Linked DNA regions of Macaca mulatta. The protein of the gene in region 1 purifies or fractionates together with the protein of each later gene. This does not show direct contact. Links are inferred from orthologs where the notes say so. Each region holds a gene or a part of one and is shown in the gene's direction. Other genes may lie near its edges. The genes, in order: TUBA1B, HDAC6 and CCT6A.

Region 1 (10,347 bases):
TCGGCTCACTGCAACCTCTGCCTCCCAGGTTCAAGAGAATCTCCTGCCTCAGCTCCATAATAGCTGGGACTACAGGTGCGTGCCGCCATGCCCAGTTAATTTTTTGTATTTTTAGTAGATATGGGGTTTCATGGTGTTAGCCAGGGTGGTGTGCAGTGGCCTGATCTGGGCTCACTGCAAGCTCCGCCTCCTGGGTTCACTCCATTTTCCTGCCTCAGCCTCCTGAGTAGCTGGGACTACAGGCACCCGCCACCATGTCCAGCTAATTTTTTAATGTTTTTAGTCGAGACGGGGTTTCGCTGTGTTAGCCAGAATGGTCTCGACCTCCTGACCTTGTGATTCGCCTGCTTCGGCCTCCCAGAGTGCTGGGATTACAGGCGTGAGCCACGGCACCCAGCCACCAACTGCAAATTCCTAGGAGAGAATCCTGTCCCAAAGATCAATGTCCACTGTCAGCAGGAAGAAGTTACAAAAAATGACCTTCACCCTTCATCTCTCCTTAAGATTAGAGAAGTAGAGGAGAAGAGTAGAGGAGGTATTATGTTAGGGAAACAGGAACGGAAGAGCTAGGGTAACACGGCGAGGCACGGTGGCTCACGCCTTTAATTCCAGCACTTCGGGAGGCCGAGGCGGGCGGATCACCTGAGGTCAGGAGTTCGAGACTGGTCTGGCTAACATTGTGAACTCCCTTCTCTACTAAAAATACAAAAATAATCTGGGCGTTGTGGCAGGTGCCTGTAATGTCTGCTACTTGGGAGGCTGAGACAGAAAAATCGCTTGAACCCGGGAGGCAGAGGTTGCCGTGCGCCGAGATTGCGCCATTGCACTCCCACCTGGGCGACAAAAACAAAACTCTGTCTCAAAAAAAAAAAAAAAGGGCTAGGGTAACACAATTTCAAAATCAATTCCAAATGTAAACTAGCAAAGCATATTCCTTACCAGATACAACCCGTGGTCATAAGATGTTTACAGCTAAGGAAGCAGTTTAATAATGCCAGCAAGGGACCAGGCACGGTGGCTCATGCCCATAATCCCAGTGGATCATGAGGTCAAGGGATCGAGACCATCCTGGCTAACACGGCAAAACCCCGTCTCTACTAAAAATACAAAAAATTAGCCGGGCGTGGTGGCAGGTGCCTGTAGTCCCAGCTACTAGGGAGGCTGAGGCAGGAGAATGGCGTGAACCTGGGAGGCGGAGTTCGCAGTGTGCCACTGCACTCCAGCTTGGGTGACAGAGCAAGACTCCATCTCAACAACAACAACAACAACAACAACAACAAAAAAAAAAGCTGGCAAGGACAAACTCCTATGACAACAAAATGTTCAGATGTCCCAATATCACATAACAATTCCCCCCCCTTTTTTTTTTGGAGATGGAGTTTCGGTCAAAAAAATAAAATGAAATAAAAAGAAGTTCTCTTTTAGTTTGATTACTCTGTGAAACCTGAGGTATAATCAAGACCTAAAAAAAAAAAAAAAAAAAAAGGCCCTCAAATACTTACTCATTCACAACAGGGAATACACAGATAAAAGCTAATAGTTTTAGGAAGGTATCTGGGGAGACATATAGGCCCCTGGGAGGAAATCCCTGAAGTGGTGGCTCTGATAATCTGCAGAGAGCTAGAAGGGAGGTTCTCCCCTCCCCCAGAAAAATCTATCCCAAGACCATAAACTACATCGCTAATCCTTGGAAATACATAAAGTGGTTAGGGTTAAAGGGTGGCTTCAAAATGGTTCTAGCAGAAACCTATTGCGGTTACTAAACTATTCAAATCATTTGCCCAGAGATAGCTTTTCTGGATAAAATAGCTTTATCCAGAGCCGACAGCAAAATGGAGTTCAGCAGGGTGGTTCCCTAACATTCATTCTTCCCGTTAAAGCAAGCTTATGGTTTTCAGATTCGTTTTAAGAATAAGAGTGGGGGTGGTCCGATGATAGTGGGTTATCAGAACTTATTAATATTAGTGTCACTAAAATTAGTATACCATCCCTCACTGCTAAAATTGACAGGCTTAATTTTTTTTTTTTTTTAAGAATAAGAAGAGGAACAAAATAAGTGAGAACAATATTCAAATATATTCCTGCCTCCTCTACCCAGTTGGAAAAATGTGTGCAAATTTGCATTTTGAATCAAATGCCTTTAACAAGACTACCAAAACTATCAGAAATAAACAAGAACCTCTTGGTCTGCAGGTCAGGTTCAGATGGGTGGAGACACACATATATAGACATACACATATATAACTCCTTACAACATACACTTATTAACCACATAAATTTGCTATTTGTCTGAAATTCGGTGCGAAGGATGAAGGCTGCACCAAATTTTAATAGGCTAATAACTGAATATGAACTATGAATTTTTAGTGTTTTAGGTTTAACCTTTTTGTTCCTCCTATACTGGGCAGATATTCTGAATAGTAACATCAATACGTTTCGGCTAGGACCATTTTAAAGCCACATTTTAAACCTAACCACCTTCTGCATTTCCAAGGATTAGCAATGTGGTTTATCGTCTTGAAATAGATTTTCCAGGGGCGGGGCGGAGGGAGACCTAGTCTACTCCTATAATGTGGGCCTCCAAGCACTAAGCTATAACCAATTGATGTATCTTGACACAAGGCCAAGCAGTCTTATTTACAAAACTCTTAAGTTGCACAAGGAATCTCTACTTCCTAACATCCTTCAGTGTCAATTTATTTCCTCCCTATCCAATTCTTTCCTCACTTCTTCAACTCAGCTACCACCACTGAAATGTGTTTTTAAATCTCCTTTTCAAAAAGCCCCTAGAACTGTTTCATAAAATTGATGGCTTAGATCTAAAATTGGGGCCTACTTTGCCCTTTTAACAGCTTCAATGTTAAATGCTTGGGCACTCTTCGAATGACTGAATATCTACTTGCTTTCAGCATTTGGTACTCTTACTTTGGAGAACAAGTCATTAAAGTAAACCATGTACACCTATTCGGTTTTCTAAAGCTCGCGTTTTTCACATTATCAGGTAAGTACAGAATGCACTGCCTTAAAAGGAACTGCGAAAATAAAAAGGCAAAACTCACTGACAAACTGTGGCAACACGAAATTAATCAGCTGAGCTATCCGAACCACAACTTTCTGCATTTCACGGTGCTTCGTCTTTCAAATTGTATGGCTCTCTCAAGTCCTAGGCTTCCTCCGAATTAAGTCAAGCCTCGTCACCCATTCCCTGGTCGGTGTCTTTCCGACTCGCGCCCGCCCCTCGCCAGGCCCTCGCAGCCATGCGCCGCACACTGCAGCACTGGCGCGCGCGGCCCGCAGGCGCGGAGGACCCCGCCCCGCGGCCGCGCGAAGGGAGGGGGCTCGGGGCCCGGAGCCCGCCTCTGCGGCTGCCAGGCCGGGCGCCCAGTGGGCGCACGGGGCCGGAGGAGGGGCCCGCGGCCGCGACACCGCCTGTGCCCGCCCCCTCTCCAAAGCCGCTACTTAAGAGGCTCCAGCGCCGGTCCCGCCCCAGTGCGTTACTTACCTCGACTCTTAGCTTGTCGGGGACGGTAACCGGGACCCGGTGTCTGCTCCTTCCGCCTTCGCCTCCTAATCCCTAGCCACTATGGTGAGTGAGCCGCGCGGCTCCCGGCTGCTTTCAGGGAAGCAGGGAAAAGCGAGCTGGCGGGGCGCGGGGACCCTGTATACAGCCGGGGAGGTCTGGTTCCAGAGCCGTCCTTTTGGAGGGCGGAAAACAAGGCGAGAGGCCAGGGCGGGAGTGGTGAGACCTCGGTGTGTGTAAATAGCTGGGGCCCGGAAAGGTCGAGGGGCGCCAGGATTTCTTATCGGACTCTGGAAGGGATGAGGGGGCTCCGGCTGCCTTCTGCCGTATCCGGAGCTCTCTTTCAGCGCGTAACTCTGTACTGGGAGCGGTCCCTCGAGTCCCCGCAGTCCTTTCCAGCGCATGCCCTTCCCCCGCTTTGGGTGGACGCGCGCGCGCGCGGACTCTAACATCTTCCAGCCTTCACTTCCTCTTGAGCGCGAAAAGCGGGGGTGGGAAGCAGCTGGAGACAAAAGCGCGCACGCGCGACCGTTACCTTCACGCCGTTCCTGGGCGGGAAACCGCCACTGCAGTCTGCGCATGCGCTCTGGGTCGCGGCGAGACTAGGGCTACAGGGCGTGTCTCCTGTTAACCTGAGTTTTCTTTTTTTAATGAAAGCAATAAGAGGAATGTGGGGAAGGGCCCTGTCAATGTACCGCTATACACCAGTGAATTAGGACAGTTCGACCACAACAGTCTGTAGAGGCCACCTGTCTCTCTGCTGCGTTAGGAATTCAGGGGAGCAGGTGGTGGCAGTGAGGGATTTTGAGGGAACGGAAATCGGATCTTGACCCAGATCTGGGCCGCCGATAATCCCCAACTTCGCTCAGACTGCTGTGGAGGTGTTAGGCCCAGCCCGATGCCGGCGGGCAAGGGAGGATGGGCGGCCTGGGCAGCGCCTTTGCAGACGTGGCCATTTCGTGCCTCTGCAGCGCCGCCGGGGGGCGCGAGAGCGCGCGCCCTGAATTGCGCATTCATCCTGTGCCGCAGAGCCCCGCCCCATGTCCCTGCGGACCGACATTTCTTATGCGCTGGTCTGGCCACGTGCTTCCTGTGCTAGGAGCTGCCCGGAAATGTGGCCACCTAGTCTAAAGTGGTATTCTGGGGCCTGAGCGCTGGGTGGATGCCTACCTTCCTGTCTTGGTCCTCCAAAGGAGGAAGCTGTGACTGAGCTGTATTGGTCTGGAAGGAGGCCTTCCCAGTTTAGGATGGGAAGGTAACAGTCATTAAAAGCAATGTAGACGATAAGCTGTTCTCAGAAGAGTAGTACGTCTTACGTCGCTTTAAAAAAGGAAATTTGTTTTAAGATTACGTGAGTAGCCTAGGTAACACAGCCAGACCTCATCTCCACAAAAAAAGATGAAAAAATTAGCCAGGCGTAGTGGCCTGTGCCTGTGGTCCCAGCTGCTCCAGAGGCTGGGGTCGGGGGATGACTCAAGCCCAGGAGGTTTAGGCTGCCTTGAGCCTAGACGGCATCACTGCACTCAAGCCTGGGTGACAGACTTTATCTCTAAAAAAATAAAGATTGCATGAGTATTTTGTTCCACCTGACAGCCACCAATAGATTAAATTGCGATATCTTTTTCCTTCCCACAGCGTGAGTGCATCTCCATCCACGTTGGCCAGGCTGGTGTCCAGATTGGCAATGCCTGCTGGGAGCTCTACTGCCTGGAACACGGCATCCAGCCCGATGGTCAGATGCCAAGTGACAAGACCATTGGGGGAGGAGATGATTCCTTCAACACCTTCTTCAGTGAGACGGGCGCTGGCAAGCATGTGCCCCGGGCCGTGTTTGTAGACTTGGAACCCACGGTCATTGGTGAGTTGACTTCAGTAACCCAAGTGAGATCCCAGGATGCTGGGACAGGAGGTCTGTCCTGGGGGCTCCGCTGGTCACTCACCCACTCCCTCCATCCTTCTCTCCCTCCTCCTCCAGATGAAGTTCGCACTGGCACCTACCGCCAGCTCTTCCACCCTGAGCAGCTCATCACAGGCAAGGAAGATGCTGCCAATAACTATGCCCGAGGGCACTACACCATTGGCAAGGAGATCATTGACCTTGTGTTGGACCGAATTCGCAAGCTGGTAAGCACAATATATAAATATGCATTTAATGCGGCGAGATGGTACCAGTGCAAGTTGGGTGGAGTGACTGACAACATTCATTCTTTAGCACCTACCAAAATGTGGAATAGACTGCTTACTATGTTCATTGGACTTCTAAATCAGATAGTCCCCTAGGTTATGGACAGTTTGTGGATATGTTTGTTTTCCCATTTCCTTATGCTTATGTCAATGAGATGGTTCATAATCTAACAATTTTAAATAGAAATTCTAAGAGAATGTTTCTTGGCATTAAAATATTATTTTTTTTATTTCCCTACAGGCTGACCAGTGTACCGGTCTTCAGGGCTTCTTGGTTTTCCACAGCTTTGGTGGGGGAACTGGTTCTGGGTTCACCTCCCTGCTCATGGAACGTCTCTCAGTTGATTATGGCAAGAAGTCCAAGCTGGAGTTCTCCATTTACCCAGCGCCCCAGGTTTCCACAGCTGTAGTTGAGCCCTACAACTCCATCCTCACCACCCACACCACCCTGGAGCACTCTGATTGTGCCTTCATGGTAGACAATGAGGCCATCTATGACATCTGTCGTAGAAACCTCGATATTGAGCGCCCAACCTACACTAACCTTAACCGCCTTATTAGCCAGATTGTGTCCTCCATCACTGCTTCCCTGAGATTTGATGGAGCCCTGAATGTTGACCTGACAGAATTCCAGACCAACCTGGTGCCCTACCCCCGCATCCACTTCCCTCTGGCCACATACGCCCCTGTCATCTCTGCTGAGAAAGCCTACCATGAACAGCTTTCTGTAGCAGAGATCACCAATGCTTGCTTTGAGCCAGCCAACCAGATGGTGAAATGTGACCCTCGCCATGGTAAATACATGGCTTGCTGCCTGTTGTACCGTGGTGATGTGGTTCCCAAAGATGTCAATGCTGCCATTGCCACCATCAAGACCAAGCGCAGCATTCAGTTTGTGGATTGGTGCCCCACTGGCTTCAAGGTTGGCATCAACTACCAGCCTCCCACTGTGGTGCCTGGTGGAGACCTGGCCAAGGTTCAGAGAGCTGTGTGCATGCTGAGCAACACCACAGCCATTGCCGAGGCCTGGGCTCGCCTGGACCACAAGTTTGACTTGATGTATGCCAAGCGTGCCTTTGTTCACTGGTATGTGGGTGAGGGGATGGAGGAAGGCGAGTTTTCAGAGGCCCGTGAAGACATGGCTGCCCTTGAGAAGGATTATGAGGAGGTTGGTGTGGATTCTGTTGAAGGAGAGGGTGAGGAAGAAGGAGAGGAATACTAATTATCCATTCCTTTTGGCACTGCAGCATGTCATGCTCCCAGGATTTCAGCTTCAGCTTAGCTGACAGACATTAAAGCTTTCTGGTTAGATTGTTTTCACTTGGTGATCATGTCTTTTCCATGTGTACCTATAATATTTTTCCATCGTGTCTCAAAGTAAAGTCATTAACATCAAAAGCTTTGTTTCCTGTGTTTTCTAAAAGTGCCTTGGTTTTTGGATTCATCTATATTTGGAGTATCGAGTCTGCAATTTGCTGGTGATGTCAGGGATCCTACTTCCTGTGCAGGCACCTCTAGGGAAAAGGAAGCTCAAGGGACTAGAAAGGCAGAAGCCCTAGATTCTCAGACTAGTTTACCACCTCATCCCTTGGCGTAGGGGGCGGGGAAACTGATGAAAGTCATTCTGCTAATCTAGAGCTCATTTAGCTCTTCAGAGTATGACTGGGTAGTTACTAATGAGTTATGTATGGGAAGTATACGTTTTGAATATCCGCTAAGTTGCTGCTGTTTAAAGTGGCCTGCTAACCTTGTTAGTGTAAGAAATTTCACAGTGATTTTTGGCTGGTCATGGTGGCTCATGCCTCTAATCCCAGCACGAGGATTTCCAGCTGTCAATGTACCAGTTTCCAGCCCTATTGTGATAGGAAAAAGGACCAGAATTCATGGTAGTCAATAAAAGTCATGCTAAGAAAGAAGGCTAAACAATAAGTGATATGCATGGGTGGAAGAGGACTACATTACATGTGGCAAACATTTGTACAAAGTGGCAACATTTGTAAAGGTTAGGATAAAAACGTATAGCATTTGGCATGGTTTACATCCTTTCAAATATTTTGGCTACATGTAACAGACTTGTAGGCACAGAGAATGTAAATAGAGGATTTAACCTAGGAGAAAATGTAGATTTCAAATCCGTAAAGTACAGGAAAATTGTGGCTGCTAAAGACCCTGATGGCTGCTAAAGACCAAGAAGACTGAAAGAATGCATGAGGCTTTTTTGAAAAAGCAGAGAAGAGGCCAGGCACAGTGGTTCATACCTGTAATCCAAGCGCTTTGGGAGGCGGAGGCGGGCGGATTACCTGAGGTCAGGAGTTTGAGACCATCCTGGCCAACATGGAGAAACCCCATCTCTACTAAAAATACAAAATTAGCTGGACGTGGTGGCTCACCCTTGTAATCCCAGCTACTCGGGAGACAGGCAGGAGAATTGCTTGAACCTGGGAGGAGGAGGTTACAGTGAGCCAAGATTGCGCCATTGCACTCCAGCCTGGGCAACAAAAGCAAAACTTCATCTCAAAAAAAAAAAAAAAAAAAAAAAGTAGGGAAGTCTACAATTTTCCCAGTTTTTTTTTTTTTTAGCCCATAAATCCTACAAATTTACAAAATGTCAGCCGTCCCTATCTGTGGTTTCCATATCTAGATTTGACTAACTGGATTTAAAATACTTGGAAGCAACCGGCCCTGGTGGTTCATGCCTATAATACCAGCACTTTGGTCAAGGCAGGAGGATCACTTGAGCCCAGGAGTTTGAGACCAGCCTAGGCAACCTAGGGAGACCCTGTCATTACAAAACAAAAACCAAAACAAATTAGCCAGTGTAATTGTGCTGCTGCATTCCTGCCTGGGTGCCAGAGAAAGACCCTATCTCAAAATATATGTTTGGAAAAATGGATAGTTGTGTCTGAACTGAACATGTACTTGTCCCCTTTATTCTCTAAATGATATAGTATAACAATTATTTACATAGCATTCACATTGTATTAGGTATTATAAGTAATCTGGAAATGACTTAAAGTATACAGGAAGATGTGTGCAGGTTACATGCAAACACTAGAGCTCTCTATATAAGGAACTTGAGCATTCATGGATTTTGGTATCCTCCAGGGATACTAAGGGATGACTGTAGCTCTCAGCTCCAAAGATAATCTGATTTGGCATGAACAATTCAGAGAAGAAGCTTTGGTGGGGAGCCTGCAGGCCTAGCATAGCAACACAAATGTAGCCATCACAGGCTCCAAGGGAAAGCAGACACCTTTATTTATTTTTTATTTTTGTGTATTTATTTATTTATTTTTGAGACGGAGTCTCGCTCTGTTGCCAAGGCTGGAGTGCAGTGGCACAATCTCAGCTCACTGCAAGCTCCGCCTACCGGGTTCATGCCATTCTCCTGTCTCAGCCTCCCAAGTAGCTGGGACTACAGGTGCCCGCCACCTCACCTGGCTAATTTTTGTATTTTTAGTACAGACGGGGTTTCACCATGTTGGCCAGGCTGGTCTCGAACTCCTGACCTCGTGATCTGCCCACCTTGGCCTCCCAAAGTGCTGGGATTACAGGCATGAGCCACTGGGTGCTCCCAGCAGCAGACACCTTTAAAGAACTGAGAGGCCTGGGCACGGCAGCTCACGCCTGTAATCCTATCACTTTGGGAGCCCAAAGTAAGTGGATCACCTGAGGTCAGGAGATTGAGACCAGTGAGGCCAACATAATCCCAACTCTACTAAAAATACAAAATTAGCTGGGCATGGTAGCCTGTGCCTGTAGTCCCAGCTACACCAGGGGCTGAGGCAGGAGAATCACTTGAACATGGGAGGTGGAGGTGACAGTGAGCCGATATTATGCCACTGCACTCCAGCCTGGGTGACAGAGTGAAACTCTCAAAAATATACAATAAAAAATTTTAAGCTGGGCACGGTGGTTCACTCCTGTAATCCCAGCACTTTGGGAGGCTGAAGCAGGCGGATCACCTGAGGTCAGCAGTTTGAGACCAACCAGGTCAACATGGTGAAACCCCATCTCTACTAAAAATACAAAAATTATCTGGGCGTGGTGGTGGGCACCTCTAATCCCAGCTACTTGGGAGGCTGAGACAGGAGAATTGCTTGAACCCGGGAGGTAGAGGTTGCGTGAGCCAAGATCATGCCATTGCACTGCAGCCTAGGTGACAAAAGTGAAACTCCATCTCAAAGGAAAAAAAAAATTAAAAAATTGTTTTATACATGAAGATGACTACTATTTTTTTTTTTTTCTTGAGATGCAGTCTCGTTCTATTGCCCAAGCTGAAGTGCAGTGGCTCAGTCTTGGCTCACTGGCAACCTCCGCCTCCTGGGTTCAAGGGATTCTCATGCCTCAGCCTCCCGAGTAGCTGGGATTACAGGCGTGCACTACCATGCCCAGCTAATTTTTGTATTTTTAGTACAGACGGGGTTTCACCATGTTGGCCAAGCTGGTCTCAAACTCCGTACCTCAAATGATCCTCCCTCCTTGGCCTCCCAAACTGCTGGGATTACAAGGGTGAGCCACCACACCAGGCCAAGATGAATACTATTAATTATAAGTTAAGGCCTTGGATTAAATGATATATTATGTGTGGGCCATGGGGGAGGAGGTGGCTAGAATGAAATGCTCAGGCAGACAGGACATGT
Region 2 (9,595 bases), on another chromosome or scaffold:
GTTGTCTGAATTATGTCTCTTTATTCTGAGGCTGGTTGAATTATTTTTTCTTGGTCCTTCTCTTTTATGCTGATGGTTTCCCTCAAATGTCTAGCAATCCTTATTTGGCTATTTATACCCAAGAATGAAGGCCCATTGTAGGGAGCAGAGGACTACGCTGCTGCTGCGGTGTTTGTAGATCTGTTTTCCTGAAAGGCATTTCCCCAGAATGGGGACAGGGAATGTCCACTGACAGGTTGCAACGTTAGTGAGTGTGGGCAAGTACCCGGGCATTAGATGGGATCCTGCCAGATGTCAGAACAAAGGAGGCCTCTTCTTTGGGGTAGCATCTCTTTTCCCTCAGCCTTGCCAAAGGTGTGTCTGTTCTACTTACCTTTCCCAGTCTAGCTTTGGGCTTTGTTGGTCATCTCTACTGTTTTATTATGGTGGGTTTTTAATACTTCATTAATTTTTCTGGTTTTATCTTTATTATTTTTTTCCTACTACATTCTTTATTTTGTTCATTTCTGGCTTCTGGAATTGAATGCTTCAACATTTATCAACTCATTGGCCGATCTCATTTCATCTATAACTGTACCCACTGCCCTCTTCCTGTTTTCCTTCAAAGCTAATCCCAGATACCTACCATATAATTTCTCCTGTAAATATTTCAGAATGCATCTCTAAAACATAAGTATACTTTTTTAGAAAAGCATTACCTTAGTATCAATACCTGAAAATTAACAAGAATTATTTTCTCAATCTGCCAAGGGTCTGTCATTCAAAGAATTCTTTAATATCATTAATCATTCTTTTTGTTTGAATAAATGCATAGGAGGCTATAGCTGTGTGTTCTTTCGTGGGTACACTATTGACTACACACACAGATGTGAAACATTGTGTGCACATTCAGTGCATTCTTCCTTATAAACAAACATGTGTAAACAAACAAACAAAAAGAACATGTCCATACCCTTGAATCTCCCAGCTCCCCATCTCTCAGTCTCTGAACTCCAGCAGCAGGGAGACAAACTGGACAGTCCTTAAAATGCTGTTGTGAAGACAAGGAAAGCACATGATCTAAAACTAAGTAGTTAAACAAATAACTTTGGTGCATTGGTGATTCGGTGGGGCTCTTCAGAAGGGATTTTGTGTGCATTGACCTGGATCTGTACTGGATTTCTCCAGAAAAGAAACCTCAGGTTATCTTGGGTGCCCCCTTATCCTGCTCAGCATGAGACAGAGCACCCTGGGGCTCCTGGAATCTCAAAGTCTACTTTCTAGAAATTCATTGAAGTCTCTTATTCTCTGACATCCTTTCTTCCACTCTCTCTTTCTGGGTTGCTGTTTATTTACAATTTCTTTACTGTATTTTGACCGGGGTGGTAGGAGGGTGAGGTAAACCCGTGCTATCAGTCCACCATTTAACTTGAAGGTGGTTGAACTTATTTTGAATTTCCCTTCTGTTTTCTTTTTAAACTTAGCTTCCTTGAGTGCTAGTTCTGTTGTTTGTTGACTTTGATGGCTCTCTTTTAGAGTCAGCTTTCTTCAGATCTTTTCTTTTTTTTTTTTTTTTTTTTTTTTTGAGACGGAGTCTCGCTCTGTCGCCCAGGCTGGAGTGCAGTGGCCGGATCTCAGCTCACTGCAAGCTCCGCCTCCCGGGTTCACGCCATTCTCCTGCCTCAGCCTCCGGAGTAGCTGGGACTACAGGCGCCCGCCACCTCGCCCGGCTAGTTTTTTTGTATTTTTTAGTAGAGACGGGGTTTCACCGGGTTAGCCAGGATGGTCTCGATCTCCTGACGTCGTGATCCGCCCGTCTCGGCCTCCCAAAGTGCTGGGATTACAGGCTTGAGCCACCGCGCCCGGCCAGATCTTTTCTTTATTGCTGTCTTCCCCGATGATTTTTTTTTCTTTTTCTTTTCTTTTCTTTTCTTTTTTTCTTTTTTTGAGACAGTCACACTCTGTCGCCCGTCTCCCAGGCTGGAGTGCAGTGGCCCAATCTCAGCTCACTGCAACCTCCACCTCCTGGGTTCAAGCAATTCTCCTGCCTCCATCTCCCAAGTAGCTAGGATTACAGGCACATGCCACCACGCCCAGAAAATTTTTTGTATTTTTAGTAGAGATAGGGTTTCACCATGTTGGCCATGCTGGTCTCCAACTCCTGGCCTCTACTGATCCGCCCACCTTGGCCTCCCAAAGTGCTGGGATTACAGGTGTGAGCTACCGCACCCGGCCCCTGATGATAATTTTTATGTCCTACTGTGTTTCTCTTCCTCTAATGATTAACTTACCAAAAGTTTAGAACCAAGATTTATCTATCAATGTCAAAAATAAAACAATCATCCTCCACCCACTCAAGACCAGAGCTTTTGCATGTTTTTATTCCCAGATTCCAAGCTCTTTTCCCTCAATTTTAAGAATCTTTTTATATCACTTGCATTAAATTTCACAACTACATTATCAACACATTAAAATGTGACTCTTAAGTTTGTCTAGATTCAGTGCATACCACTATTTCTTGCATTTCCCTAAAAAAGCTGCCTTAGATCCTCTCTGGAACAAGGCAGGGGGTAAATGACCAGATAGAAGGATGGATGGATGATAGATTATTCATTTTGCTTTCCCCAGTCAGAAATAAGCCCTCCCATGGCCCCTTGCTGGGCTTTCTGTTAAAACACGTGCATCGCATCTTTTCAGTATCTATTTTGCATGTCGGTCCATCTCATCCCTCTGAGTGCTCACTCTCTTGCCTATAAAATAGAAGAAGTAGTAGAGGTGACCTGTAAGGCATTGGGGAGAAGGAATTGCCCTCTCACTGGCCTTGTGGCAGCCCCAGCCAGCACCCCGTCTCCAGTTCCACCCACAGAAGCAAGTCTCACCCCTTCCCCCCAGGTCTCTCTACTTCCTGCTAGAGAATCACCCAACTCCCCAGCCTGGCTTGAGGCTTTTTTCAGCCTTAGCTAGCTCCCTGCAGCTAAGAGCCCCATGCTCCATTTGGGACTCCAGTGTCACAGTGTTTGACCTGCTGTTACTACTACCTTTGTCATAGGGGCAGGTAGTGGGCAGACATGATCTAGAATACCCCACAGAGTCAGGAGCCCCCATGATCTGGGATAGACCCTAGAGCTGAGCCTGAAATTGGGTGGGCACTGAGGGGGCAGTGATGTTTGCTGAGGAAGAGGTTCTAGTGAGAGACTAAATGAATGAGTGAGTGAGGTAATGGATAAATAAAGATAAGAATGGATGAATGGTAAGATAATTAAATTGGTGACTGAATGTAAGGATAAATTAATGGAAGAATGGATTCATAGATTAAATAATTAATGGGGAAATTAATGAATGAGAGAATGAACGAGTGGTTGAATGGGGAAATGAGTGGTAGAGGAAACTGGCAACTGTTGGGTTGGGAGTGTCTATGGGGATTGACTCTTCTCCAACTCTCTTACCTCTTTTTCTTCTGCCCCCAGTGTCCTCTATTTCTCCATCCACCGCTATGAGCAGGGTAGGTTCTGGCCCCACCTGAAGGCCTCTAACTGGTCCACCACAGGTTTCGGCCAAGGCCAAGGATATACCATCAATGTGCCTTGGAACCAGGTCAGCATCCACCCACCCTTTGTCCCCAAAGTGAGGCCCAGCCCTGCCCTTCTGTCAGCAGCTCGGGACAGGTGGCTGAACATCCCCCACTACACTCCTGTGTCTGCAGGTGGGGATGCGGGATGCTGACTACATTGCTGCTTTCTTGCACGTCCTGCTGCCAGTCGCCCTCGAGGTCCTGGGGGTCTGGGGTGTGTTGGGGGAGAGGAGTGGCCTTGAAGGTTAGGCCGTGAGGGCAGGTAGCCTCATGGAGTCTGTTCCTCCTTCAGTTCCAGCCTCAGCTGGTCCTGGTGGCTGCTGGATTTGATGCCCTGCAAGGGGACCCCAAGGTAAGGCAGGCTCCCTGGGGCGGCAGATGGGCTGCACGGAGCCAGACTGACCCTCCATGTCCCCCCAGGGTGAGATGGCCGCCACTCCGGCAGGGTTCGCCCAGCTAACCCACCTGCTCATGGGTCTGGCAGGAGGCAAGCTGATACTGTCTCTGGAGGTGAGTGACTCACCTTCGTCCCTCAGCCTGTGGATCCTGGAGGGCTTAAGAACGAAGCTTTCAAGTCCAAAAGGAGTTCCTGGCCCAGCATTTCACTTACTAGCTGGACAACCTTGCATAAGTCACTTCACTTCTTTGTGCCTCCGCTTTCCTTCTGTAAAACGAGCATAATAATGGTAATCACCTCATATCATTGTCCAGTGAATTCAATGAGGCCCCCTTCTAAGTTCCTTGTTGCTTGACATTTGGTATGCACTCTCTTATTATTATCATCATTATTGTTATTCCCTGGTCATGTCTGGTCCTTTCCTGATCCCCCTTCACAACTCCTTGCCCCAGGGTGGCTACAACCTCCGCGCCCTGGCTGAAGGTGTCAGTGCTTCGCTCCACACCCTTCTGGGAGACCCTTGCCCCATGCTGGAGTCACCTGGTGCCCCCTGCCGGAGGTGAGCCCCAGTGGAGGAGGGGAAAGCGGGAGCCTCACTGCCTGCCCACATTCCTTGACCTCATATTTTCTCCCTGCCCTGCCCTGCAGTGCCCAGGCTTCAGTCTCCTGTGCTCTGGAAGCCCTTGAGCCCTTCTGGGAGGTTCTTGTGAGATCAAGTAGGAAGTGGGGTATGGGCCTGGTGTGGGGTGGACGTGGGATGAGCCCTGGGGCAGACTGTCTTCGGACTTTCTCTGACTTTACTGGGCTGCCTTGGAGGTAGAGGGTCAGGCCCTCTCTCTCCCTGGGCCCTGGTTTCAGGCCTCCCACCCCATTTTCTATTTGGGGTCACCTGAGTTCCAGAGTATGACGGGGATTCAGAGTGAGAGGGTAGGACAAACGTGGCCTCCCCCTTGTAGCTGAGACTGTGGAGGGGGACAACATGGAGGAGGACAATGTAGAGGAGAATGAGGAGGAAGGACCCTGGGAGCCCCCTGTGCTCCCAATCCTGACGTGGCCAGTGCTACAGTCTCGCACAGGGCTGGTCTATGACCAAAGTATGATGAATCACTGCAACTTGTGGGACAGGTAGGCATTTGGAGGGCTGGATGAGTAGGTGTTGGGGGTCCCTCCCCATCAGGCACTAAGCCCCTACCTCTCATTTCCCCACTGCTAGCCACCACCCTGAGGTACCACAGCGCATCTTGCGGATCATGTGCCGTCTGGAGGAGCTGGGCCTTGCTGGGCGCTGCCTCACCCTGACACCGCGCCCCGCCACAGAGGCTGAGCTGCTCACCTGCCACAGGTCAGACCCTGGTGCCTGGGGTGGGTGGCTTCCCAGGACTGTGGATGAGGTCTCAGGAGCTGGAGCTTGGGTTTCCCCTCCCAGGGAGCTGCTGCAGGACTTGAGAGGGGCTGAAGTTCCTGTCTTGCGGGTGGGTTCCAGGGAGGGGATGGACCCTCCTCACTGTCCTGCCGGTGCGCCTCTCTGTACCTCCAGTGCTGAGTATGTGGGTCATCTCCGGGCCACAGAGAAAATGAAAACCCGGGAGCTGCACCGTGAGAGTTCCAACTTTGACTCCATCTACATCTGCCCCAGTACCTTCGCCTGTGCACAGCTTGCCACTGGCGCTGCCTGCCGCCTGGTGGAGGCTGTGCTCTCGGGAGAGGTGTGTCCTCTGGGCTGGGGAGAGGAGGACCTGGGGAGAATAGAAAAAGAGGGCCACCTGCTGTTTCTGGAGGCTCTGAGAGAGTCAAGCAGGGCCTGAGGAAAGGGGCCATGGGGAGGGGCACAGGAGGGGGCGGGCCTAGAGGCTGCAGTAATAATGGAAGGAACTGGAGAAAGGGAAGGGTGGCCAAGTGCGGTGGCTCACATCTGTAATCCTAGTGCTTTGAGAAGCTGAGGTGAGCTCAGGAGGTCAAGGCTGCAGTGAGCCATGATTGTGCCACTGCACTCTAGCCTGGGCAACAGAGTGAGACTCTGTGTCAAAAAAAAAAAAAAAAAAAAAAGGTTGGGCACGGTGGCTCATGCCTGTAATCCCAGCACTTTGGGAGGCCGAGGCGGGCGGATCAAGAGGTCAGGAGATCGAGACCATCCTGGGTAACACGGTGAAACCCTGTCTCTACTAAAAAACACACAAAAAATTAGCCGGGCGTGGCGGTGGGCGCCTGTAGTCCCAGCTACTCAGGAGACTGAGGCAGGAGAATGACGTAAACATGGGAGGCGGAGCTTGCAGTGAGCCTAGATAGCACCACTGCACTCCAGCCTGGGCGACAGAGCGAGAAAAAAAAAAGAAGAAGGAAGAAAGGAAGGTGAGGGTGAGCTGGAGGGCAGGCTGTCCGATCTTAGCACCCTGCTGCTTCCTAGGTTCTGAATGGTGCTGCTGTGGTGCGTCCCCCAGGACACCACGCAGAGCAGGATGCAGCTTGCGGTTTTTGCTTTTTCAACTCCGTGGCTGTGGCTGCTCGCCATGCCCAGGCTATCAGTGGGCGTGCCCTGCGGTAAGGACTCCCTGGGGACCCCCCAAATCCTGATCCTTGTGGGGACCTGGATGCTCTCCCCAGCCCATTGCTTACTCATCATGCCCCATGGTCCAGCTCCCCAGGACTTCCCCAGAAAGAAGTAAGGGTACAGCCCTTACCCAGAGAAGGACTGAGGATGGAGCCTCTCAGTGCCTATTTAGATAGGACCCCCAGATCATATTACCTGGGTGCTTATAAAACAGGATTCAGGGTCCCACCCCAGCATTTCTGGCCTATAGCAGCTGCCTCGACAGAACCCAGGTCCAGGCTCCTGATGCATACTCCAGAAGACCCAAGAACCAGTCCCCAGCATTAGCTGCCCAAGGTGCAGGGTCCAGTTCCCTAGCAATGACCCAGAAGAGCCCAGGGCCCAGCCCCGAGCACTTGCTCAGGCCTACAGGGCAGCCCTCGGGAACCAGGATCAGACTTTTCTCCTTAACTGATAGGACTAGGGTCCTGCCACTCAGCACTAAATGCCCCTACAGACCCCAGGGGTCTGGCCCAGCCCTCTTCCAGGGGGTGAGTATCCTAGGTTACTGAGGTGCTGTCTTCTCCCCAGGATCCTGATTGTGGATTGGGATGTCCACCATGGTAATGGAACTCAGCACATGTTTGAGGATGACCCCAGGTAAGGGGCTGCAATCAGGGGCCGCAGTGTGATCAGGGAGGTGGGTGAGCACCTCAGGGGTACTGGAGCCCCTAACCAGCCATGGCCCCCTTCCTACCCCCTCCCCGGCAGTGTGCTATATGTGTCCCTGCACCGCTATGATCATGGCACCTTCTTCCCCATGGGGGATGAGGGTGCCAGCAGCCAGATCGGCCGGGCTGCTGGCACAGGCTTCACCGTCAACGTGGCATGGAACGGGCCCCGCATGGGTGACGCTGACTACCTAGCTGCCTGGCATCGCCTGGTGCTTCCCATTGCCTACGAGGTACAGCTCAGGATAGATCGCAGGATGTATGTGACATGCCTGTGCAGGTGGCAGCCTGGACCTGCCTCCTCAGCATGTGTGCGTCTGACTGCCAGGTGGCTGATGATATGAGACAGCCCATGGGTGATTAATGAGGCTACCGGGGCAATTGGTGACTGTGATCACTTTGTGTATTTGCCTGTGCACAGGTGACTATATGACTGCCTTCTCTGTGTGACACTATGTGGGTGACTATCTTGGCTGTGTGTGTGAGGGCCTTCTGACTATGCAGCAGTGGCCCGTGTCCTGGCTGGATCTGTGTTGTGTGTGTGCCATCACAAGTGCTTGAGTATGTGTGTGTGCGACTCTGTGCAGGCAGGTATTTCTCACCTTTTCTCTGTGTGATGGGTGTGATATTGTATGTCACTAAATGCAACCATCTCTGTGACAGCCTGTGTGGGACCCTCTGGATGTGAAAGGCTGTGTGTTACAGCAGTCACTGTCTGGCTGTCTGCCCTGGCTATTTATGTGTGTGTCTCTGACTGGGAGGTAGCTGCCTTCCCTCTGTGTGAGCTGGGGGGCTAGTGGCTTGCGTATGGCTGACTCTGGGAGGGAGGGCGGGGGTGTAAGCACCACTCTGTCACCCTGGGCGCTGATGTGCATCTTTGGATCTGCACGTGCGCGGGTGGCCAGGACAGCCTTCTGTATGTGTACAACTGTATGTGCAAGTAACCAGCTCTTGTGGACACACCAGAGTGCATGTCACCATTGTGGCTGTGTGGTAATGGCATGTGTATGTGACTCTGCAGGGTGGCTGTGGGTTATTGTCCTCTTTGAGAAACTATGTGTGTGTGTGTGTGTGTGTGTGTGTGTGTGTACATGACTAGTGCAGATATGTAGTACTGGTCTATATGGGACTGTGTGTGGCAGTACTTGTGGCTTTGTGTGACTATCTTCTCTGTGTGTGGCACTTGCATTGCCATCTTCTGTTATGGAAGTGTGCAAACACCTCTCTTTGACACTATGTATATAAAACCCTATATGTTGTGTATGTGTGTCCCACATTTGACCCTGGGGTGTGTGTGTGTAAGGACATGTCTCTGTCTCTCTGTTTTTCATGTCACTCTCTTGACATCTGAGTCTGTCTCATGTCTCATGACTATGTCTCATGTCCCCATCTGTCCCTTTCTACTGTCTCCAGGTCTCTAAGTCTGCATCTGTTTCTTCTGAGTCTGTATTTCTTTTCTTCCCCTCTTCATTTTCAGTCTCTGCTTCTGCATCTCCCAGTCTGCAGATCCTGTGTCTCCATCTCTCTGACTGGCATCTCCATGTCTTCATTTGTCCTTTTCTCCATGTCTCTGGGTCGCCATCACTTACTATCTACCAAAAGCCCCCACCCTCATGCTTATACATCTCTTCTCTCCCTGCCTCAGTTTAACCCAGAACTGGTGCTGGTCTCAGCTGGCTTTGATGCTGCACGGGGGGACCCGCTGGGGGGCTGCCAGGTGTCACCTGAGGGTTATGCCCACCTCACCCACCTGCTGATGGGCCTTGCCAGTGGCCGCATTATCCTTATTCTAGAGGTAATTCTCTCTTGGTCCCTCTTCCCACAGTGGGAGGGTAGTTTGGAAATGTTGGCACCATCACTCAGGACAGTTTCCTGAAATCTCCTTTGAGTGTCCCTGCCTGGGATTGTTGGCACATACTGGGTAGTAATAAGAATAACAGCAACATTAACAGCCTTAATTGAGTGCTCACTATGTACAGAGCACTCTTCTGAGCACTTCATGTGTCTTATTCATTCAGTTACTTGGCAAGGCAGCCTTATGAGGTAGGGTCAGCTTACCTCATTTTCCTCTCTCAAGATCAGGGAAACTGAGGCACAAAGAGGTGTGATGACTAGCCTGAGATGGCACATTTACTGATGGCAGAACCAGGACTTGAACCCATGCAGCCTGGCTCCAGGGTTTGTACTTTTTACTCTACCTAAACTGCCTCTAACAAGTTCCTGGGACAAAGGAAATTCACTGACCTTTGTAAATGGCCCAGTATCCCTATGCCCTGTGCCTCAGTTTCCTCATTTTTATGAGGCAGGCTAATCATGGAGGAATATCTGGCATATGGTAAATGCTGAATCTGTTGGATCTGGTTTTTTGTTCTTTTGTTTTTCTTTTTTTT
Region 3 (10,249 bases), on another chromosome or scaffold:
ACAAAATCGATGGATGCTTAAATTAGTAGGCACTGTTCTGATGAAAAACAGAACAGTCACATATTTTCCCACAAAATGTTTATTAAATGCTTATTAAATACAAAGAAAAGCTAGTAACTTTAAAGTAGAGCAATCTGGCAAATATTAACCAAGTGAACAAAGTTAACATCACCAGGAATGAGAAAAACTGACATCATGTGACTCTTCCTATGATGCCTTGAAAAGGACACATACTCTCTGGTGTTCTTGCCAAAAATGAACAACCTGGTTTTTTTTTTTTTTTTGATAACGGAGTCTTGCTCTATAGCCCAGGCTGGAGTGCAGTGGCGTGATCTCCACTCACCGCAACCTCCGCCTCCCGGGTTCAAGTGATTCTCCTGCCTCAGTCTCCTGAGTAACTGGGATTACAGGCGTGCAGCACGATGCCCAGCTAATTTTTTGTATTTTTAGTAGAGACGGGATTGCACCATATTGGCCAGGACGGTCTCAATCTCTTGACGTCATGGTCCACCCACCTTGGCCTCCCAAAGGGCTGGGATTACGGGCATGAGCCACTGCGCCCGGCCATAACCTGCATTTAAACATAAGAAACTATCAGGGGGCCGGGCGCGGTGGCTCACGCCTGTAATCCCAGCACTTTGGGAGGCCGAGGCGGGCGGATCACAAGGTCAGGAGATCGAGACCATGGTGAAACCCCATCTCTACTAAAAATACAAAAAATTAGCCGGGCGTGGTTGTGGGCGCCTGTAGTCCCAGCTACTCGGGAGGCTGAGGCAGGAGAATGGCGGGAACCCGGGAGGCGGAGCTTGCAGTGAGCCGAGATCGCTCCACTGCACTCCAGCCTGGGCGACAGAGTGAGACTCCGTCTCAAAAAAAAAAAAAAAAAAAAAAAGAAACTATCAGGCCAGGTGCAGTGGCTCATGCATTTAATCCTAGCACTTTGGGAGGCCAAGGCAGGTAGATGACCTGAGGTCAGGAGTTTGAGACCAGCCTGGCTAACATGCCGAAACCCTAACTCTACTAAAAGTACAAAAATTAGCCCAGCATGGTGGTGGGTGCCTGTAATCTCAGCTACTCCGGAGGCTGAGGCAGGAGAATCAGTTGAACCCGGGAGGCGGAGGCTGCAGAGAGCAGAGATAGCGCCACTGCACTCCAGCCTGGGCAAAGAGCGAGAGCGAGACTCCGTCTTTAAAAAATTTGAAAAAAAAAAAATCATAAGGAAACATCAACTAACCCTTAGGTAAGGAACAGTCTGTAAAATAACAGGACAGTACTGAAAAAAAATGCCAAGATCATTAAAGACTGAAAAATTGCAGAACTGTTCCAGACTGAAGAACGTGACAAGTAAATGTGAAGAGTAATTCTAGATAAATAGAATCCTGGGCCAGAGAGAGAACATTCATGATATAATTAGCAAAATTTGAATGAAATCTATAGATTGGATTCTGCATCAATGTTAATTTCTTATTCCAGGGTTAAATGTGATGTTTACAATAGAAGGATCTGTGGGTAGAGTATGGGAATTCTTCTTACTGTTTTTTACAAATTCTTTTTATGTTTGAGACAGGTCTCGCTCTATCACTCAGGCTGGAGTGTAGTGCTGCGATTCTGGCTCACTGCAACATCCGCCTCCCAGGTTCAAGCAATTCTGCCTCAGCCACACAAGTAGGTGGGAATACAGGCATGCGCCACGACACCTGGTTTTGTTTTTTTTTTTTGCTTTAAATTCAGGGAAACGTGCACAATGTGCAGTTTTGTTACACAGATATACATATGCCATGGTGGCTTGCTGCACCCATTAACCCATCCTCTAGGTTTTTTTTGTTTGTTTGTTTTTGAAAGAGTCTCACTCTGTCGCCCAGGCTAGAGTACAGTGGCACCATCTCGGCTCACTGCAAGCTCCACCTCCTGGATTCATGCCATTCTCTCACCTCAGCCTCCAGAGTAGCTGGGACTACAGGCGCCGGCCACCATGCCCAGTTAATTTGTTTTTTGTATTTTTAGTAGAGACGGGTTTCACCACGTTGGTCAGGCTGGTCTCGAACTCCTGATCTCGTGATCCGCTCACCTCGGCCTCCCAAAGTGCTGGGATTACAGGCGTGAATCACTGTGCCTGGCCTTTTTTTTTTTTTGAGGAGTCTCGCTCTGTTGCCCAGGCTAGAGTGCAGTGACATGATCTTGGCTCACTGCAACTTCCATCTCCAGAATTCAAATGATTCTCCTTCCTCAGCCTCCTAAATAGCTGGGATTACAGGCATGCGCCACCACACCCAGCTAACTTTTTATATTTTTGGTAGAGATGGGGTTTCACCATGTTGGCAAGGTTGGTCTTGAACTCCTGACCTCAAGTCATCTGCCCACCTCGGCCTCACGAAGTACTGGGATTACAGGTGTGAGCCACTGTTCCTGGCCTTTTTTTTTTGAGACAGAGTCTGGCTCTGTCACTCAGGCTGGAGTGCAGTGGCATGATCTTGGCTCACTGCAACCTCTGCTTCCTGAGTTCAAGCAATCCTCATGCCTCAGCCTCCCTAGTAGCTTGGATCACAGATGCACACCACCAGGCTAGGCTAATGTTTGTATTGTTACAGAGACGGGGTTTCACCATGTTGGCCTGGATGGTCTTGAACTCCTGACCTCAAGTGATCCGCCCGCCTCGGCCTCCCAAAGTGCTGGGATTACAAGCATGCGCCACCATGTCTGGCCTCCTCATAACATTTTTAACAGCAGTTATAATAAATCTGAATGCACACCATGTAATGCCTATGGAACTAATAACTCATCTTCTATTGTGCAGTGCTACTAGTCACATATATAGATGTTTTTGTGATTCTCAAATACACAAACCCACCTAAAAGCATCATATATCCAGATGTTCACTGCAGCCTGAATAGCAGATTAGGAACAAGTTAAACATTAGTCAGTAGGTGACCAGTTAGTTGTATCATTCTTTTTGAGACAGGGTCAGCTCTGTCGCCCAGGCTGAAGTGCAGTGGCAAGATCATAGCTGACTGCAACCTCCGCCTCCCAGATTCCAGCGATCCTCCCACCTCAGCCTCCCAAGTAGCTGGGACCACAGACGTGCAGCACCACACCCGGCTAATTTTTGTATATTTTGTATAGATGGAGTCTCGCTATGTTGCCTCGACTGATCTTGAACTCTCAGGCACAAGTGATGCCCCTGCCTCAGCCTCCGAAAGTGCCGGGATTACAGGCGTGAGCCACTGAGCCCTGGCCCCTAGTTGTGTCATTCTTACAAAGAACATCACGCAGCTGTTACCGAGGACTTCCTATTAGTCTTGATATAGCACAATCTCCAAGACACTTAAAGTATAACACACCCTACAGTGTGTATTATGAATTGCCATTTGTGTGAGGAAATGATTATATTCATATATAAGTTTATAAATTCAGAAAGCATTCCGAAAATTCATAGAGTATCCAGGGGTAACTTTGTCTCTAGTGTTGAACTAGAGGTGGGAGGAAGATTTAATTTCCACTACATGCCCTTTGGTGCCTTTTGAATTCAGAACAATTTCCATTATTTATTAAAAATAAAATATCAGCCGGGCGCGGCAGCTCACGCCTGTAATCCCAACACTTTGGAAGGCCGAGGCGGGAGGATCACTTGAACTCAGGAGGATCACTTGAACTCTGAAGTTTGAGACCACCCTGGGCAACATAGTGAGACCCTATGTCTACAAAAATAATATAAATAAAGTAAAATATCACGTGTTACGGAATCCCTGGTATTTGGCGGGACACTGGATACTGGAAACAATTGTGGAGCTCTTTGGAAATTTACCTTAATAGGGAGTCCTCTCAAAGGCAGGAATGACTCTACAAGGGTGAGTTTTCAAATGTGCCATGGGGGCCTCGGGCCTCAGCAGCATCCAGAGCCCTACGGACGGGCAGGTTCTTACGTCTCAACTCCCATCGCACCAGTTCTGCAGCTTTCTAAAGGTATCCAGCACTTTCTACCTTGCATTCTATCTTCATCTTCGCTAGGCCTCACAGCACCGCATGATCCCGGGGCAGGGTGCTTATCAGACTCGCGTGTGTCTCCAAGCCACCTAGGGCACCGTCAAGCACAGGGTCCAGAAAGCTCCAATGAAAGAGATAAAAGCGCGAACCCGGGGGGCGGAGCTTGCAGTCAGCCGAGATCGCGCCACCGCACTGTAGCCAGGGCGACAGAGCGAGACTCCGTCTCAAAAAAAGAAAGAAAGGCATAAAATCAGCAAAGAAAGGAGACTGAGGAGCAAACCGCGAGAGTAGAGGCGGGAGGAGGCCCACCCTACGCCCTGCCCCCGCGAAGCACAAGCCCCGCCTGCGTCCTGGGCTCCCGGGTCCACAAAGCTGGGCCCCGCTGAGCTGCGACACCGGAACCAAGGAGCACGGTCGGCCGGGAATAGGCTCCTCCCGTGCGCAATGACGCCGCGGCCGCCGCGCGAGGGGTGGGACCGTAGGCGCCGTGCAGCCACGGACCAATGGGCGGGCGCCGGACGACCTGTGGTCCAATGGCGGAGGCGCGCGGGCACGCTGGGGGCGGGCCGGACGCGCCGACTTTTCCAGAAGACCCGGATAGTTCCTCCTGGCCACGCCGCGCCGGCTCTGGGTTCTCAGCCTCGTTTCCTTTTCCTCCGCTGGAGCAGCGATGGCGGCGGTGAAAACCCTGAACCCCAAGGCCGAGGTGGCCCGAGCGCAGGCGGCCCTGGCGGTCAACATCAGCGCGGCGCGGGGTCTGCAGGACGTGCTAAGGACCAACCTGGGGCCCAAGGGCACCATGAAGATGTGAGGCGGGGCTGAAGGGAGGGCCGGGTGGGCACCGCGCGCCGCCACGCACCTGGCTGGTCCGGGACCACGGGCTGGAGCCCGCCGCCTCGGGGCTCCGCAGCCGCCCTTCTCCGCGTCCTTCGGGGTCGGTCCTGTTCTCTGCTAAGCCCCACCGTCCCAGCCATTTCTTCCAGCGTTCATGCCGTCTCTGGGGAGAACAAAGCGTCTCTAGAGCGCGGCGTTCCCCTCCCTTTGGGGCTTCCAGGCACTCTGAGGACTCGGCACAATCTCTGCGGGGACGGGGTGGGCACTACACCTGTTCCTCCAGCCTGCGGGAGATAACTAGCCACATATCCCTGGCTCCGTAAGATCTGGGAAGAGCCCGTTTTCTAATGGGACTTTTAGTTATCGTTGAAAAGTCACTTCTGATTCATTTCTGTCCCTTAAACAGGCTCGTTTCTGGCGCTGGAGACATCAAACTTACTAAAGACGGCAATGTGCTGCTTCACGAAATGGTGAGAGGTGCTCTGCTCTAGGTCAGAAAGGTCTTGATTTTCCGTAGATTGTTTGCTTTGTGGAAAGATTTGCAGTGTCCGTTTTCAAGGCAGGAGAACATTTAGAAGTGGCATGTAATCAGTAATAGTACAGTGCCTGGAGTCTGACAGCTCTGCCTTTGAATTCCTGCTTTTTTGCTATTCACAGTCTGGGCTAAAGGACTGTAATTGTATATTAAAGTTAATTATTATAAAATTTGAAAAATTGAGAGGTTGACACAATCACATGGGCAAAATGCATGAGGATGATTTTTCTTTTTTTCTTTTTTTTTTTTTTAGTTTTTATTAGACGAAGTGTTGCTGTGTCGCACAGTGGCACAATCTTGGCCCACTGCAACCTCCACCTCCCGGATTCAAGCGATTCTTCTGTCTTAGCCGCCCAAGTAGCGAGGATTGCAGGCTCGGGCCACCACTCCCAGTTAATTTTTGTATTTTTAGTAGAGAGAGGATTTCACTGTGTTGGCCAGGCTGGTCTTGAACTCCTGACTTCAGGTGATCCGCCCGCCAAAAGTGCTGGGATTACTAGGCGTGAGCCACCGCACGCAGCCGGTTTTTCTCTTTTTAAAACAGCAATTTCTCCGTTAGGTCTCATCTGCATCTCCAAGTGGAGGGGATTGAAATCTGTCTCTTTGCAAGTCTTAGGGATGGAGAATATGAGATTATTGGGGGGAGTATGCGTTTTACTCATCCCCTGAATTCCCAAAACTTAGCAGTTCAAGAACAGGAAATGATTTCCTGCTGATTTGAGTTCAGAATAATACTTAGGGTTTTACTAGTAGCGTACCAAGCTATCAACATCCAAATGAAATATCTTTAGTAAGGACTTGGTAACCTAGGAGGTGTAGTGTTTGTTTTTAGTGGGCTCAATGGTGGCCCGTGTTGGAAAAGTGGAGCATAGTTAAACTTGATGTCGGAATTGTTTGGGGGCTGGGTGTGGTGGCTCATGCTTGTAATCCCAGCACTTTGGAAGGCTGAGGTAGGTGGCTCATTTGAGGCCAGGAGTTCACGACCAGCCCTGGCCAACGTGGTAAAACTCTGTCTCTACAAAAAATACAAAAATTAGCCGGACGTGGTCCTGCACGCCTGTTGTCTCAGCTACTCCAGAGGCGGAGGCAGGAGAATCGATTGCTTGAACCTGGGAGGCTGAGGTGTCATTGAGCCGAGTTTGTGCCACTGCACTCCAATGTAGGTGACAGAGACTGTCTCCAAAACAAAACAAAAAATTATTTGGGTTTTAGTGTGTGAGAAATACAGCATAAGTAGAGAGAAGCACGTTGAACATTTACAATTTAAGAAAAAATTATAAAATGGACACACACAACCACCACTGTAGCTAAGAAATAAATTGTTGCTACCACCTCAGAAGTCTCCTCCCACTGGAATCTCTCTCCAATCTCCAGAAGTCTTTCAGTTTTCTTTGAAAAAATTACAAACCTACAAAAATAATTACGATGTGTGTGCCCTTTAGGAGATACCTGACTTATTCTCACTAGAGCCATACACTTGCCATAAAGAGGCAAGGATGTAAAATTATGTTTTACTGTTAACTGGTAGCTCTGTCATTTTGAGTAAACTTTTACTTAGCCTCAAGCTTCCTCATCTGTAAAGTAGAGATAACCTGGGAAATAAATTACACATGAAAACGTTTCAATCATAATTGCATGTGCGTGATAGCTAATCGAAGTAATTTGTAGCCAAACACTTGGGTAGCTTTTTCAAGTAGATAGCACTTAAAGAGGCCCTTCCTACATTTTGTTTGTGTTATATTTAGACTGCTTCATGTTGTTTTAAGTGATTCATTCTTTTTCTACTTTCAGCAAATTCAACATCCAACAGCTTCCTTAATAGCAAAGGTAGCAACAGCCCAGGATGATATAACTGGTGATGGTACGACTTCCAATGTCCTAATCATTGGAGAACTACTGAAACAGGCGGATCTCTACATTTCTGAAGTATGCACAACTCTTGTTTCTGTAATATTTTATTGTATATAGGAAGTGTCTGATACTTATTTATACAAATTGATGTGCTGTTAATAGCTGAGGCCATACAGTAGAACTAGGGGGCTTAAATCTGGGTCTTTGTCCTGGTCTAAAACAAATTGTGACCTTGGACAGGTTATGGAACCTTTCTTGGCCTGAAAATAATTTTGTAATGAAGTTGCATTGCCTATGTGATTTGTATCTGTCCTTAGTGTAGATTAATAATTTAGATCTAAAAGTGGAATGTTTAGGACTAGGAATATTTGTTAGGAAAAAAGCATCCAAAAGCTTATATTTGGATAAATTCCACTTTTTTAAGCCCTGACTAGTTCCAAGGTTAAAACAAACCTCAGTGAGTATGAATCTGTTGTCAGAATTTCCTGGAAAAAGAGAGCAGTCTTTATTAAATAATTAGTAAATGATGTGAATTAGTTTGAGATTACCTATAGAAAAGAGAATAGTCCAAGCGTGGTCGCTCACACCCGTAATCCCAGCACTTTGAGAGGCCGAGGTGAGCGGATCACCTGAGGTCGAAAGTTCGAGACCAGTCTGACCAACATGGAGAAACCCCATCTCTGCTAAAAATACAAAAATTAGCCGGGCATGGTGGCGCATGCCTGTAATCCCAGCTACTTGGGAGGCTGAAGTAGGACAATCGCTTGAACCCAGGAGGCGGAGGATGTGGTGAGTCGGGATCGTGCCATTGCCTCCAGCCTGGGCAACAAGTGCGAAACGCCGTCTCCAAAAAAAAAAGAAAGAAAGAAAAGATAGAATAATGTTACCATCTGCGAGTCCTTGGTTGGGACACAGTGTCAATTTTGAAATGATTCAGAGTGGTTTGCACAGTGAATACCCAAGTGTGCTTTATAGTTTCCTTGGCTTTGACCCTGTGCTAGAGCATTACCTGTTCTTCTCCTCTGCATTGAAAGGAATATTTATCCTTTTAAATGTATTCTGAAAGCCAGCACATTATATTACCTCGTGTTCAAAGGTATGATGATCCAGAATACCCCTTCAGGAATTAACTGAACTTTGTCAGGAACTGTGGTTGTACCTACTTGATGCAAGTGTTAATGTGTGTTTATTGTAGGGCCTTCATCCCAGAATAATCACTGAAGGATTTGAAGCTGCAAAGGAAAAGGCCCTTCAGTTTTTGGAAGAAGTCAAAGTAAGCAGAGAGATGGACAGGGAAACACTTATAGATGTGGCCAGAACATCTCTTCGTACTAAAGTTCATGCTGAACTTGCAGATGTCTTAACAGAGGTATATATTAAATGTTGTCTGTGTCTGGTATAATACACCTATATAGAAAATCTCTGATAGTAGAAACATGAATATAATTCCCAATTTCAATTACAAGGTGCTGTATAGGTTCATTTTTGGGGCAATAATACCTAATTTGTGTCTCTAAAATGAGGAAATTCAAATAATAGTATATGTAACTGGGTTATAAAAGTAAAATTGAGGCTTTCATTAAAAGGTTTGTAAAGTGGAGATTTTGTTACTAGAAAGCTTCCAAGTTACCAGTATTTTTAATGAAACAGGAGAATTGTTAATGTTAATTAATGTTAATGTTTGGGAATTACAGATTGAGATTTCAGAAATGTAAATGGCTTCAGTTGTTGCTGTTTACATATATTCTGTTTGCTCATAGAAAAAGACTTAAATCAGTGTATAATTGTAAAATGAAACCTTCGGAAAAGCAAGATGTTTCTGCTGCTGCAAATTGAATTTACTTAATGGTTATGCTCCTCCAATTGCAGGCTGTAGTGGACTCCATTTTGGCCATTAAAAAACAAGATGAACCTATTGATCTCTTCATGATTGAGATCATGGAGATGAAACATAAATCTGAAACTGATACAAGGTAGGTGGTAGAATACTGTGAAATACTAATGATCAGGCATGGGGGCTTACTCCTGTAATCCCAGCACTTTGGGAGGCCGTGGCGGGCAAATCACCTGAGGTCAGGAGTTCAGACCAACCTGGCCAACATGGAGAAACCCCGTTTCTATTAAAATTACAAAAATTAGCTGGGTGTACCGGGCGTGGTGGCACGCGCCTGTAATCCCAGCTACTCGGGAGGCTGATGCAGCAGAATCGCTTGAATCTGGGAGGTGGAGGTTGCAGTGAGCTGAGATCACACCATTGCACTCCAGCCTGAGTGACAACAGTGAAACTCCGTCCCAAAAAAACAAAAAATAAACTGTGTTTAGAAATTTAGGGGTGCTTTGTACAATATATGGTTGGCTTTTTTTTTTTTTTTTCCTAAGACCGAGTCTCACTCTTGTGGCCCAGGCTGGAGTGCAGTGGCACAATCTCTGCTCAACTGCAAGCTCTGCCTTCCGGGTTCACGTCATTCTGCTCCAGCTTCCTGAGTAGCTGGGACTACAGGTGTCCGCCATCACGCCTGGCTAATTCTTTTTGTATTTTTAGTAGAGAAGGGGTTTCACCATGTTAGCCAGGACGGTCTTAATCTCCTGACCTCGTGATTCGCCTGCCTCGGCCTCCCAGAGTGCTGGGATTACAGGCGTGAAATCGTTGGCAATTTTTAAAATATCTTTGGGTATAAAATGTTGTATATTTACCTGAAGATGTAAGCTGGATAAATTGCTAGATGAATATTGTTTTTACTTTTAGTAATATTTTCTCCTGAAATAAGGTGAATGTAATGTTATATTTATGGTTAGAGTGATTCTGAAAAGTGAATGACATCAGTCATTTGGCATTTATTGATGTGCTAGGTACGAAGCATAATGAGAAGTAGTAGAGAAATTTAAAAAATTTTTTTCAAAGACTTAGAAAATGTTTGTGTTTTTCTTTTTTGTGTGTGTGTGTGGAGAATGGAGTCTCCCTATGTTGCCCGGGCTGGTTTTAAATTCCTGGGATTAAGGCATCCTCTCACTTCTGCCTCCCTAAGTGCTGGGATTACAGGCGCTTGG

Evidence for each region.
Region 2: the proteins of TUBA1B (region 1) and HDAC6 purify together in Homo sapiens (affinity purification with western blotting; 4 studies listed by BioGRID, with this or other methods). This does not show direct contact. The link is inferred for Macaca mulatta from reciprocal best matches to the Homo sapiens genes TUBA1B and HDAC6.
Region 3: the proteins of TUBA1B (region 1) and CCT6A purify together in Homo sapiens (affinity purification with mass spectrometry; 3 studies listed by BioGRID and IntAct, counting the BioPlex papers as one, with this or other methods). This does not show direct contact. The link is inferred for Macaca mulatta from reciprocal best matches to the Homo sapiens genes TUBA1B and CCT6A.

The regions. Positions count from the first base shown.
Region 1 is NC_133416.1:56,289,326-56,299,672, reverse strand, and holds TUBA1B (tubulin alpha-1B chain), read left to right. Parts: upstream 1-3,490; 5' UTR 3,491-3,583; coding exon 3,584-3,586; intron 3,587-5,155; coding exon 5,156-5,378; intron 5,379-5,495; coding exon 5,496-5,644; intron 5,645-5,945; coding exon 5,946-6,926; 3' UTR 6,927-7,102; downstream 7,103-10,347. UniProt on the Homo sapiens protein: Tubulin is the major constituent of microtubules, protein filaments consisting of alpha- and beta-tubulin heterodimers. Microtubules grow by the addition of GTP-tubulin dimers to the microtubule end, where a stabilizing cap forms.
Region 2 is NC_133426.1:48,890,506-48,900,100, forward strand, and holds part of HDAC6 (protein deacetylase HDAC6), read left to right. Parts: intron 1-3,446; coding exon 3,447-3,573; intron 3,574-3,682; coding exon 3,683-3,748; intron 3,749-3,842; coding exon 3,843-3,902; coding exon of another isoform or gene 3,903-3,911; intron 3,912-3,970; coding exon 3,971-4,060; intron 4,061-4,399; coding exon 4,400-4,506; intron 4,507-4,595; coding exon 4,596-4,663; coding exon of another isoform or gene 4,664-4,675; intron 4,676-4,903; coding exon 4,904-5,072; intron 5,073-5,160; coding exon 5,161-5,289; intron 5,290-5,484; coding exon 5,485-5,653; intron 5,654-6,351; coding exon 6,352-6,485; intron 6,486-7,065; coding exon 7,066-7,134; intron 7,135-7,245; coding exon 7,246-7,438; intron 7,439-8,850; coding exon 8,851-9,000; intron 9,001-9,595.
Region 3 is NC_133408.1:72,117,057-72,127,305, forward strand, and holds the start of CCT6A (T-complex protein 1 subunit zeta), read left to right. Parts: upstream 1-4,567; 5' UTR 4,568-4,651; coding exon 4,652-4,788; intron 4,789-5,221; coding exon 5,222-5,285; intron 5,286-7,141; coding exon 7,142-7,276; intron 7,277-8,144; exon of another isoform or gene 8,145-8,278; intron 8,279-8,396; coding exon 8,397-8,570; intron 8,571-9,070; coding exon 9,071-9,174; intron 9,175-10,249. UniProt on the Homo sapiens protein: Component of the chaperonin-containing T-complex (TRiC), a molecular chaperone complex that assists the folding of actin, tubulin and other proteins upon ATP hydrolysis.